4 linked regions of the Kluyveromyces lactis genome follow. The protein of the gene in region 1 interacts with the protein of each later gene in a biochemical or structural test. Links are inferred from orthologs where the notes say so. Each region holds a gene or a part of one and is shown in the gene's direction. Other genes may lie near its edges.

The links.
Region 2: the proteins of KLLA0_A03883g (region 1) and TLG1 form a complex in vitro, tested with the Saccharomyces cerevisiae proteins (2 studies listed by BioGRID). The link is inferred for Kluyveromyces lactis from reciprocal best matches to the Saccharomyces cerevisiae genes SNC2 and TLG1.
Region 3: the proteins of KLLA0_A03883g (region 1) and SEC9 form a complex in vitro, tested with the Saccharomyces cerevisiae proteins (5 studies listed by BioGRID). The link is inferred for Kluyveromyces lactis from reciprocal best matches to the Saccharomyces cerevisiae genes SNC2 and SEC9.
Region 4: the proteins of KLLA0_A03883g (region 1) and VTI1 form a complex in vitro, tested with the Saccharomyces cerevisiae proteins (3 studies listed by BioGRID). The link is inferred for Kluyveromyces lactis from reciprocal best matches to the Saccharomyces cerevisiae genes SNC2 and VTI1.

Annotation. Positions count from the first base shown.
Region 1 is NC_006037.1:343,145-345,678, forward strand, and holds KLLA0_A03883g (uncharacterized protein), read left to right. Parts: upstream 1-1,497; coding exon 1,498-1,581; intron 1,582-1,705; coding exon 1,706-1,954; downstream 1,955-2,534. UniProt on the Saccharomyces cerevisiae protein: SNC1 and SNC2 are vesicle-targeting proteins essential for normal secretory traffic between the Golgi and the plasma membrane. They may also be involved in vesicle fusion.
Region 2 is NC_006041.1:318,725-321,402, forward strand, and holds TLG1 (Tlg1p), read left to right. Parts: upstream 1-1,442; coding exon 1,443-2,138; downstream 2,139-2,678. Other genes in the region: mitofusin complex protein UGO1, read left to right, coding at 1-667; SDC1 (Sdc1p), read right to left, coding at 776-1,180.
Region 3 is NC_006040.1:173,297-177,003, reverse strand, and holds SEC9 (Sec9p), read left to right. Parts: upstream 1-1,456; coding exon 1,457-3,127; downstream 3,128-3,707. Other genes in the region: TIF6 (translation initiation factor 6), read left to right, coding at 360-1,097; ECL1 (Ecl1p), read right to left, coding at 3,441-3,707. UniProt on the Saccharomyces cerevisiae protein: Component of a SNARE complex that may be the effector of SEC4 function in exocytosis.
Region 4 is NC_006038.1:899,629-902,322, reverse strand, and holds VTI1 (v-SNARE protein VTI1), read left to right. Parts: upstream 1-1,460; coding exon 1,461-2,126; downstream 2,127-2,694. Other genes in the region: YAH1 (adrenodoxin), read right to left, coding at 257-757; KLLA0_B10263g (uncharacterized protein), read right to left, coding at 2,407-2,694. UniProt on the Saccharomyces cerevisiae protein: t-SNARE found in various SNARE complexes involved in multiple transport pathways. The composition of the t-SNARE complexes is specific for a limited number of v-SNAREs and therefore allows only the vesicles carrying the matching v-SNARE to fuse.

The DNA of each region.
Region 1 (2,534 bases):
AAATGAATCGAGCACTCTCTGTTCATTCACTAAACGTTTCCTAAAAAGTTCATAATCACGATTATGTTGTCGCCTCAGGTGTCTGACGATATTTGATGAGGTGGGATTTCCATCTAAAGTAAATCTATGTTCACATTTCTCATATTTGCACACTGCAAAAGGTGATTCATCTTTTACCTTAGTAACCCAGATCGCATAAGGAGAGGACGAGAGCCAAGCATTGAATCTTTTTTCAACTTGCCCCCGAATATTATCTTCCCCTGGACCCATGACTAAAAATGGCTTACTGAAGGGATTAAAAGAAAAGTCTTCGAACCCGAAGTTGAATTTCCTCTTGAATGCTGCTTCTGATCTGAGATATTCGTTAGCATGTGTTTCGCTTCGCTGGATGGCTGTCGATTTTGAATCTATGTTTCGATCTGAGTCACTTGAACTGCCATAACCGTGGAAGTCGCTAGGTTGAAGGAAAGTGTCATGTGGTTTATTTTTTGAACTCCCAGAGTAGTCCCAGTTTGAGGAAGGAATCGAAATTGTTTGGATAATATTGACAGTACCAGTATACTGTAAAGAACCATTCAGTTCTTGAGATATAGCAGTTCCATGCTCATTTACTGAAGATGAACGAATTGATTGTTGCATGGTCGTGCCCTGTTCTGCTACTTTGCAATTATTGACATTCTGTCGAGCTTCGAATGAGGAATCGTTTTATGTTGCTCTGTTGAACATAGGTTTTTCAGACTCATTCTGAGGTTCTGTTGGGATTGATTTACTGTTCGTGATTTCACCTGCATCATCATCATCATCATCATCATCGTCATCTTTTGGATACATTTCAGTGTTCTCTTCACAAGATGAAAAGTGCGGGTCTTCACCTTCTCCACAATTTGAATCAGAATAAACGCCTTCATCGTCATCATCATCGACAAGTGTATTAACAGAGCTAACTTCTGACAGACATGAATCGCCCTGTGAGCGTTGCTTCCTCCGCACTACACCATTCTGTTGTTTAAAATATCTTGTTCTTCTTTCTCGGAGATTGTACATCGTTAAGGAAGCTGCAACATTTGTCGAAATGTTCTAGTTGATATTAGCCTTATAGTAGTAGCCATGACGTGCTTTAGCGGAGGATTATTTAGATTGTAAATGTAACATAGTTTTGTTGTCTATGTAGTAAAATATCATTTACGCGTAAGGCTTCGTGTCTTGATTCACAAACCATTAATCACTATGCACGTATAGATTCAAATCCTAATCACTATTGACGGTGGCAATTTGTCCCCGGTACTGTTTTTTGAACGGCAAATCGAAAAATGGATAGATTTAGAAGTTAATTTAAAGAACAAACAGGCTTTTAAACCTTTATCATGGTGGATTTGAACCATTTTCAAAAGTACTAACCAATTTGCAGTGAGATTTGACTAGTAGTTGTGAAATAATAGTTTGCTATCAATTGAACCGGAACTTAGGTGCTGAGAAGTATAAAATAATTAAGCAACAATGTCATCATCTGTTCCATACGACCCATATGTCCCTGCTACCGAAGAGACCGCAGGTGACTCAAAGACTGCAGCTTTGAAATCCGTATGTTTGAAATGCATTTAACTATTTTACTTTAGCTCTAATATGAACTTCAAAGATACTAACAGTTTGAGTTGAAACGACATGACGATTGCTGTCCGTCTGTCTGTTTTGTCTCTACAAATAGGAAATCGATGATACCGTCGATATTATGAGAGATAACATTAACAAAGTTGCCGAACGTGGTGAAAGGCTAACATCGATACAAGACAAGGCTGACAATTTGGCCGTGTCCGCCCAAGGTTTCAAAAGAGGGGCCAACAGAGTAAGAAAGCAAATGTGGTGGAAAGATTTGAAGATGAGAATGTGTTTGGTTCTAGTGGTAATTATACTTTTGATTGTCATCATCGTTCCTATCGCAGTTCATTTCAGCTAGAGTTTCTAAATGAATAGGATGAATATCAACCTCAAGATTATCATAGGGTTGAACTCAAAGGTTCCTGTTTTATTTCATTTTGAAACCCGTTCATCTACAGTTTTATGCTTTTTTTTGTCCCTGCTTTATCACGATTCTTACTTTTAATGATACGAAATCAATCCGATACTCTATACGATATTCCATCAGACCATGTGATGCCATCTAAATTGTGCAAAGATGCGATATGGATTAGTCATGGAAGCCTGGCATTAACAGTAGCTTCTGTGCTTTTTCTTTCCTTTTTGATACATGCTATTTAGACCGGGACATTTGCATGTGCATTTCTGTTGATCATATATGTTTACCTTAAAAAATCTAGCAGATAAACTTATTCTTCTCAGAACTATAGCATTAATTTGGCCATGCTTCATCATTTTTCTGACATGAATAGAAATGCATTTCATTCCCGTCTACCACTATGTGGTTATATACTGGTAAAGAAAATGTACCTAATACTCAAATTTGTATAAACATATAAATATATAATTCTTTGAAAAGGCTTTTACAATATTATAATCGACGTTACTGGTAATTTTAT
Region 2 (2,678 bases), on another chromosome or scaffold:
TCCGCTGATGCAAATTCCAGATCCATATTTTATTGATATCATACACTCACCAGACGTAACGAAATCCGCAAGCTTAATTCTTTTGGCAAGTTGCATGACAAGACTTGTATTATTACCGTTGGATCTCGTCAGAGTTAGGTTAATTATCTCTTCTGTTCGTAACGATGGTTCCCTTTCTGATAACGATAGATCCTTAAGAAAATTGTTGAGAAAATGGTCCTGGAGGGAAAACATATCCAAACTAAATAAGGAATTGGTCTTTTTGAATATATTATATTCCCTGGTAGGGACAGGATTTAGCAAATTAACCGGTGCAATACTATATCATCAGTTCAATGTTGACAAATTCACTAATGTGATTCTGTACAACACATTAAAGTTCTGCAGTAAAGTTTGTGAACTCTTCGTAAAGCTACCAATTGAGAATCTATTGAGAAGGAGTCAAGTGAAGTTCTTGTTCACAGAAAACCCATTCCAAGTACAATCTGAAATGTTAATCATAAAACCAAGGGAGTACCAATCCATCTACCTGACGGTATTCAAGCAGTGCGACAGAATTAGTGAACTATGGCGAGGCTGGAGACTCGGGCTTCTAAGCATTTTATGCGGTTATGGTTTGAAGATTTTAAATAAGCCATCAGAAATACTCGAAGAGGAGAAGTTTTAGTTCATGTAGATATCTATAAGTGAACTGGACATTGAAGGAAAACATACATATATAAAATAATAATAATAATACAGATGTCTTTAGTTTAAGAAAGTCGTAAATTCATATCTACGATGAAGGCTTCTGGTTCATTTCGCTTGCATCAATCAAGAACTGGCCTAATACTCGAAGTGGATCCTCGGGCTTTTCTCTGGCTATCAGTTTCATTCCTTCCAATAAATGTTTTGTTACATGTTCATTCAAATATCTTCTAGTGGTTGACCCACCGATCATCGCTACTGGATCAACACGATCATGATCAATTTGTAGTTCCTTCTTGGGTGATACTTCTCTTTCTGTTGTAGCTGCAGTTGCAGAGGTAACAGTTCCAGATGATTCCCTTGGTATACCCGATGGAGACAGGGGTTCAGTGGTAGAAATCGAAGAGACGCCAATATCCGGTACAATATGTTCTTCTTTCTCAAGTTTTACCACATCTTCAGGTGCCATATTCTCCATCACTGGTTCTGACATGTAGATAAGCTTCAGTTGTGGCAGGAGACCAGGATTGGAGCTTTATTCGGCCAAGTCTAGGTGTAGATCTGTCCATGTATATAGTCAAAACTCAGTGATTTTTCAAGATTGTCAATAATAAAAGGAAAATAATAACAAACTGAAATCTTAAACAAAGTTCACCAAGGCAGGTACAATTCGAGCTCCCCAAGAAACAGACCGCACTGAATCAGGTAATACCAATATTATATCAAAATTAACCACCAAAAGCAAAGAGGACAAAATGGATCCATTTATTCAGGTTTTCAAGGACACAGAGGAACAATTGAACCAATTATTGCAGATATTAGATAGGAAGAAGAAAGGGAGATCGAACACCAGTTCGAAAGAGATCTCGGAAATCATCTCTGAGGCTCAAGAGACTATCCAAGATCTAAATGAGAGTATAGAAATGATGAAACAGGAACAAGCTATTCCCGAATACGAAATTCAGACCCGTGAGAAGTCCATGGCAAACCTGGAATCAAAATTGAAACAATGCCAGTCGTTAAATATCGAGACAACCCGCGACACCGATGCAGCTACCCAATCATCATTGCTGCCGCAGCAACAACAGCGTGGCGATTCCTTCGATTTGGACATCGAGGCAACTGCAGGCACCGACCAATCAGACGCGGCAAACCACGACGCCGTACAGGAGCAATTACTCCGTGAACAAGACAATCAATTGGACATGATTCACCAGACAATGCAAAACATTCATCTACAGGCATCTACAATGGGTCAAGAACTAACAGAACAGGGCATGATTCTCGAAGAAATGGACGGAAATGTCGACGGAGTCATGAACAAACTTTCCAGAGGAAGACGACAACTAGAATGGGTCTACGAACACAACAAAGAACGTGTCAACGACTGCTGCATCTTTCTCTTAATCATTGCATTGATCATCCTACTAGTACTAGCATTCATTTTGTGATGTATATCACCGAATTTGAACCGGGAACCAAACAGAAACCAAAAAAGGAAGAAGACGATGCACATTCCCGAGTAACGAAAGGTGCGAAGTTTCCTAAGAGAAACTGACACAATTCTTGACCCCCCAGTTGACGGATCGTCATCGTCGTCGTTCCATTCCTCTGATAGACAAAATACCTCTCGACACTGTTGCGGTATGGAAAAAAATCGGAAATCACAACATACGACAGCGGCTTTGAAATCGTACCACAATGGAGCTTTCGAACTGATTTTTTTGTTGAAATATATAGAAAGTATGGAAACTGAGAAATGGAAAAGTATTAAGACCAAGTTAGTTTTTAAGGTACAAAAGCAAAAGGTTGCTTGCTGGATTGGGTTTTTTGCACGTCAAGCTACAGTGTCAGATCCAAGACTATCGAAGAGAGCGATTTCATTTAAGAGGCGAAGGGCACTAGGATTAGGACGGAGTTGATAATACTTACTGGCATTCATTCCCGGATTTTCTGTGTCTTGTAATTATCGTTTGTTTCCCGACTTTTTT
Region 3 (3,707 bases), on another chromosome or scaffold:
CTGCGTTGAATCGTCTGGTGATCAGAAGAAAGAATGTGAAATGGAGAGCTATTTCTCGTCTAAGCTTCGAACGGTTGTTGGATAACTCTCACTGATCAAATTTATACATCTATAAGGGTACGAGATACCCATATAGTACTGTATGTGTGTTCTTCTCCGGGTAACCTAATTTGTGTTTCGTTTCTTTAAAACACTGCAATATGGAAAATTTTAAAGATTTCACTGGATAATTTCTAAGCTCATCTCATCTCATCTTGCGGATGGTTGATTCGGCTTGAATTAGTACAGTTCTTCTGACTTATAAACACTAGTTCTGCTTGTTACGCCAGTATACCACTGCAGATAAATCAACTGAAATTATGGCGACTAGGACACAATTTGAGAATTCTAACGAAATTGGTGTGTTTTCGAAGCTAACTAACTCGTACTGTTTGGTGGCACTTGGTGGTTCGGAGAACTTTTATTCTGCGTTTGAAGCCGAATTAGGAGATGCTATTCCTATTGCTCATACCACTATTGCAGGTACGAGGATTGTTGGTCGTATGACTGCTGGTAACCGTAGAGGGTTATTGGTTCCAACTCAAACTACCGACCAAGAATTACAACATTTGAGAAACTGTTTGCCAGATGCTGTGAAGGTTCAAAGAGTTGAGGAGAGATTATCTGCGTTAGGTAATGTTATCTGTTGTAATGATTATGTTGCTTTGGTTCATCCAGACATCGACAGAGAAACTGAGGAGTTGATTGCCGATGTCTTAGGTGTTGAAGTTTTCCGTCAAACAATTTCGGGTAACGTTCTTGTTGGTTCATATTGTGCGTTGTCTAACCAAGGTGGTCTAGTGCATCCTCAGACTACAGTACAAGACCAAGAAGAACTTTCCTCTTTGTTGCAAGTCCCACTAGTTGCTGGTACTGTGAACCGTGGTTCGCAAGTCGTCGGTGCTGGTATGGTCGTGAACGACTATTTGGCAGTTACTGGTCTAGATACCACCGCTCCAGAATTAAGTGTGATCGAATCTATCTTCCGTCTACAAGACGCTCAACCAGAAGCTATCTCTGGTAACTTGCGTGATACTTTGATCGAAACTTACTCATAAAAGGAATTGATACAATCGCTCTCTTCTGTCATTTATATCGTTTTGGCCCCCATTATCGCCCCATTTTTTAATGTAATATTGGTGTATATCTCTGGATCTGTATAGTACAATTTTTATTTTGATTGCTCTTTGGCATTTGCATCAACCCCATACTGTTTATTTCCTTCTTTCTTTTGTATTTTGTGCATCGTGGTTCACTAAGTACTACTGGACCCAAAAGAAACCTTTAAATTTAAATGAAACAAAAGAATCGAAAAGTTGTAGTTCCTTTAACATCAATTTTTAGATAGGTAAAGACAAGGTAAAAGGGGAACATCGATCAAATAAGGTTAAAAGGTTGCTGTTACCGTAGTGAAACCATGGGTATTAAGAAGTTCTTCAAGATCAAGCCACCTCCAGAGGCTACCCCCGAAGAAAACCGTGAATATTTGAACGAGTTAGGAATTTCCACCAAGACTACACCATCAAATAGAAGAGAAAAGTTTGCCGCATATGGGAAGTTTGCTAACGATAAGGTCAAAAGTAAGGTCTATGCACCAGAAGGATATGAACAATATGCGAATCCTGGAGCTCAGCCTTCTGAGCGACAGCAGTTGGATGATTTGAACAACTCTCCTTACGATGAAGTCTCCATGATTAACAATAGAAACGCTTCTGCCAGCGCTCGACACACGGGCAACTACGTTGATCCATATAGCAATGATAATGCATCTCCGTATGGGAACAGTGATTCCTCTCCCTATGGAAATGCAAGTGCTTCTCCATATGATACCGGTTACAACGCGCCACTGCAGCAGAACAATAACCCGTATGGATCAATGAATAATAGCTACAGCAACAAAAGCTATGGCAGTAACAGCTATAGTGGTGATACATACGCAAGTCCGTCTCCGCAGGCATCTAGCAGCAATAATAATGGTGCTACCGGTCAGAGACCTAGTAACCCTTATGCTAACATGAACAGTCAGGATCCGTATGGAACAAATTCGTATTCAAATTCTGGTAGCGTGAATGCATATAAGGGCTTTACTCCAAATGTGGCGGCTTCTGATGTTTCAAGTAGATCTTATGCCTCACCTCGTCACTCTACATCTGCAACCAGATCAAACGACCGTGAATTTAATTTCGAACGGTCCGGAGCTGATGACGAAATAGATCTCAATGAGACAATTAGGCCAGAAATTGATAATCCTAAGGGAGTTCAACGCAATGGCAACGGTGATGATGATGATTTAAACAATTCCATTCATGAGAACGAGGGTATTGGGACCCCTGCAAAGGGTTATCAGACATTTGAAGATATTCAAAAAGAAAGTCAGCGTGCTGAACAACAAGAAGAAGATGAAGAAGTAGATGGGATCAAGCAACAGATCAAATTTACAAAACAGAGTTCAGTTGCCAGTACGAGAAACACGCTAAAGATGGCACAGGATGCTGAATTAGCTGGTATGAATACCATCGGTATGTTAGGACATCAATCGGAGAAATTGAACAATGTGGAAAGAAACCTGAATTTAATGCAAATCCAGAACAGAGTTGCCGATGATAAAGTGAGTGAATTGAAGAAGTTAAACCGGAACATTTTAGCGGTCCATGTATCGAATCCGTTCCATAGTAAGAGACGTGCACGCGAAGCGGAAGATAAGATAAAGTTACAAAGGATGCAGGACAAACAAAACCAAGAGGATATCACGTCGACGTTACACCAAAGTACGAAACGTATCGAGAATGCCATGTCGAGTGGACATGGTCCATCTGAAGTTCGTGATCGGTACCAGAACCAGCAGATCTTAGAGAAGGCTAAAAGGTATCAGTTCGAGAACGACGAAGAAGATGATGAAATGGAAATGGAAATCGACAAGAACTTGGATAAGATTGGACAAATCAGTGGTAGGTTAAAGAAACTTGCGATTACCACTGGTAAGGAGATAGATTCTCAACAAGATCGGATCAAGCGGATTGAGGAGAGCACCGATGATTTGGATATCAAGATCCATGTGAACACGACTAGGTTAACCAATATAAGATGAAGGAAGAGTCTTATAAATAAAATGTTAATTAAAAAATGCAAAATGTGAGATCGTTAAAGTCGCCATGGCGGGGGTATACATCATAAACATATTCTATATAATATCAGAAAGTACTGCTGTATCTTATCTATCTTCGATGTAGAAAATGTGTGAAAGCGATTGTGCCAGGAGTTCCACCTGGAGGAGGAAAAGGGGCCAGCATAAGAGAGCCCATATAATCATAGCGTGTTGTTCATAAAGAGAGTGAGTGTGTTTGTGTTGTGTTTGTGTTTAAGTATTGCAAAGTTATTGTGATGTTCAGGAATCCTCTTAACTATCCTGTCAAATTATAGTTCAACCAAAGCTTGTAGTTATCCTCAGCAGTATGATCCGTGTAACTGACAAACTCTTGATCCTTCCCAACGACAGAACGCGGTATCGTCATCATCGGAAGTGAAGCCCCATGTCCTAATGTGTTCCTATCCAGTGACAATTCCAGATCGAAATCCATATCATCTTGATCTCGATCTAGAAGATCATATATCGTGGAAGACGTACTACTTCCGGTGCTTCGATCCAAAGGTTGTAAAAGAGGGGATCT
Region 4 (2,694 bases), on another chromosome or scaffold:
CGGGTAACAGTAAAATACCTTTAACTATGTATGTATTGTGCATAGATAGCACCGGTACACAGCGTGGGGAAACTTTTACTGATGCATGATAAATAATAATAATGATAATGGACTGCGAACGAGCTTGGTTGATTGCTCCTATTTACAGGTAATGCAACTGGTGTCACTCATGTCATGCTTCCCCTGTTGGGAAAAAAAGAAAGATCTAAAGCTGTCTCTTTTCATATGATGACTGAATTCAGTTTAGTCATTCTCTCTATTCGAAGTCTGAAGATGAAACATTTCTTGTCATTGAAGGAAGAGCGACTCTGATACCATCGATATCCTTATTCATTTTAATGCAACATCCCAATCTACTTGTCTCAGTTAACCCGTAAGCCAAATCCAACATATCATTTTCATCATCGTCAGGTTCTTCTAATGCGTCGTAATAGTCTGGGTCCACAATCACGTGACAGGTCGAACAAGCACAAGAACCACCACAGGCACCCTCCATATCTAGATTATGGCCTTGAGCTATATCCAAGAGAGAGTCCCCTTCTGCCACTTCAAAAGTCTTTTGTGTTCCATCCTTCAATATGAATGTCACATGCAACTCTTCTCCCGGTTTCGGTTTATGTAAATGTCCATGGTATCTCTTCCATGACAAATTTGTACGGGCTAACCATATGTTGTGAGAGATGCTAGGAGAAGTAATGCTTCTGGCTCTTAACTGGTTCAGATGCCCAGCTTGTCTAGTCAATATTCCTCTGATCATTGATTATACAGGAGTTTTTCCAAATAGATATGGATGATTAAAAATAATTCACAAACAACAACGATAAGTGTTACTAAAAGGAAACCAAAGACCCTTTCCGTCTGCTATACCACAATGAGAAAAAAAGCTGTCCTGAACTTTTATCAACTCTGATTCTTAAGTAGCTTTTATTTGGCAAAAAAAGGTTGCTTTATATCTAGTTCTCCCTTCAGTTCACATCGAAATTGGCAAATGCTTATTGTTAATCATTCAATTATTGAATCTCATCGGATTTTTCCCAATTTGTCAGTGTTCATGAAAACGCCGGTATGAAATGAAACCAAAGACAAAAAAAACAGACCGTTTCTGGGCCTGATTCCACCTCGGTCTTCCGCGGATTTGGCGGATGTGGTTCAAAATGATTGTTTGCCCTTATCTAGATACTGGTCTTTACATGACTCAATCAAAGTCACGTGAACAATGTATTTTTCTTTCTTTTTCTTTCTATTCCCTTTATTGAAGCTTCTCCCATGAGTTCAAGTTAATGTTAGGAATCAACGAAAAGCAGGCCTGGTGATTAAGCTGTTATAGCTGGTAACGGGGCCTACTTCAGACGTACATTGGCCTGCAAGTTTACATTCAAACCTTAAATTTCCTTTAGGTTGTGAAATTCGGGAAGAGATAATATAAAAAGGAAGGTTCTGAACCATATTATTTTATCAGGATGTCCTCATTATTGCAGAACTATGAATCTGAATGTCAAGTCGCTATAAACCAGGCGAAGGTTTTGCTTGCTAATGCTAAGAATGATGCCGGTGCTGTTTTAAAAGGTGGAAAATCGGATATACTTTTACAAATTCAACAGTACCATGATGAATCTTTAGAATTAGTGGATCAAATGGAAATAGAGTTGAATAATACAGGGAACTCGTTGGATTCTAAGACAAGGGCATCTTATAAAGCAAAGATCAGAGATTATAAGAGACAGTGTCAGAATGAAATTAAGGATCCTTTAAAGCAATTGGTGCAAGAAAGCGATAGGAATAAGTTACTTGAAGGTCGCCACTTCGATAATGATGAACAAAGGCAACAGCTTTTATCGAACCATGCGCTTTTACAACGTTCTGGTGATAAATTACAGGATGCTACAAGACTGGCATCCGAGACTGAGAACGTTGGTGCACAGATAATGATGGATTTGAGATCTCAAAGAGAAACATTGGAGAATGCAAGACAAACTTTGTTCCATGCTGATTCGTACGTCGACAAGAGTATTCGCACTTTGAAAACCATGACTAGAAGACTCATAGCCAATAAGTTCATTTCTTACGCAATAATAGCGGTTTTGATACTACTTATCTTGTTAGTGATATTCTCCAAATTCAAATAGTAATCGATTTCTCTGCGTCTTTTAGTTCAGTCTCAATGCAAGTTTAAGCAGAATAGCTATAGTAATGAATTTATATAATTTTAATTTTGACCCTTGTGGTATAATTTTATACTCTCATGAGAAGAATACAATTTACCGTGTATAAATGATATCTGATTTTGAATACTTATCTAGTTGTATATAAAATAAGAACGATATAAGAAATAATAATAATAAAAATAATAATGATAATGATAGTAATAGTGATGGAAAAAGGCCGGTCAGAATAGCATAGCGCTGTTCATGGAAGACATTCTAATTCATCTTCATCAGCTGAATTGATAGTGGTATGAGATAGACGCCTCCTTAATTCATTTACTAGACGTGATTCTTCTTCGGCTAACTGGTTCTGTTTCAGTTTCTCGAAGGTCACACCTTCTTCATCGTCTTCTTCGCTACTGATGATGCTTCCGGAGCGCTGAGCAAGTTTTGCAGATTCACGTCTTGTGCTACCAATACAATGTAGATATTTCTCCTCTTCTGTCAACTCAAGTTGCGTAGCTGTTAAGTTAATTAACGACTTGGAACT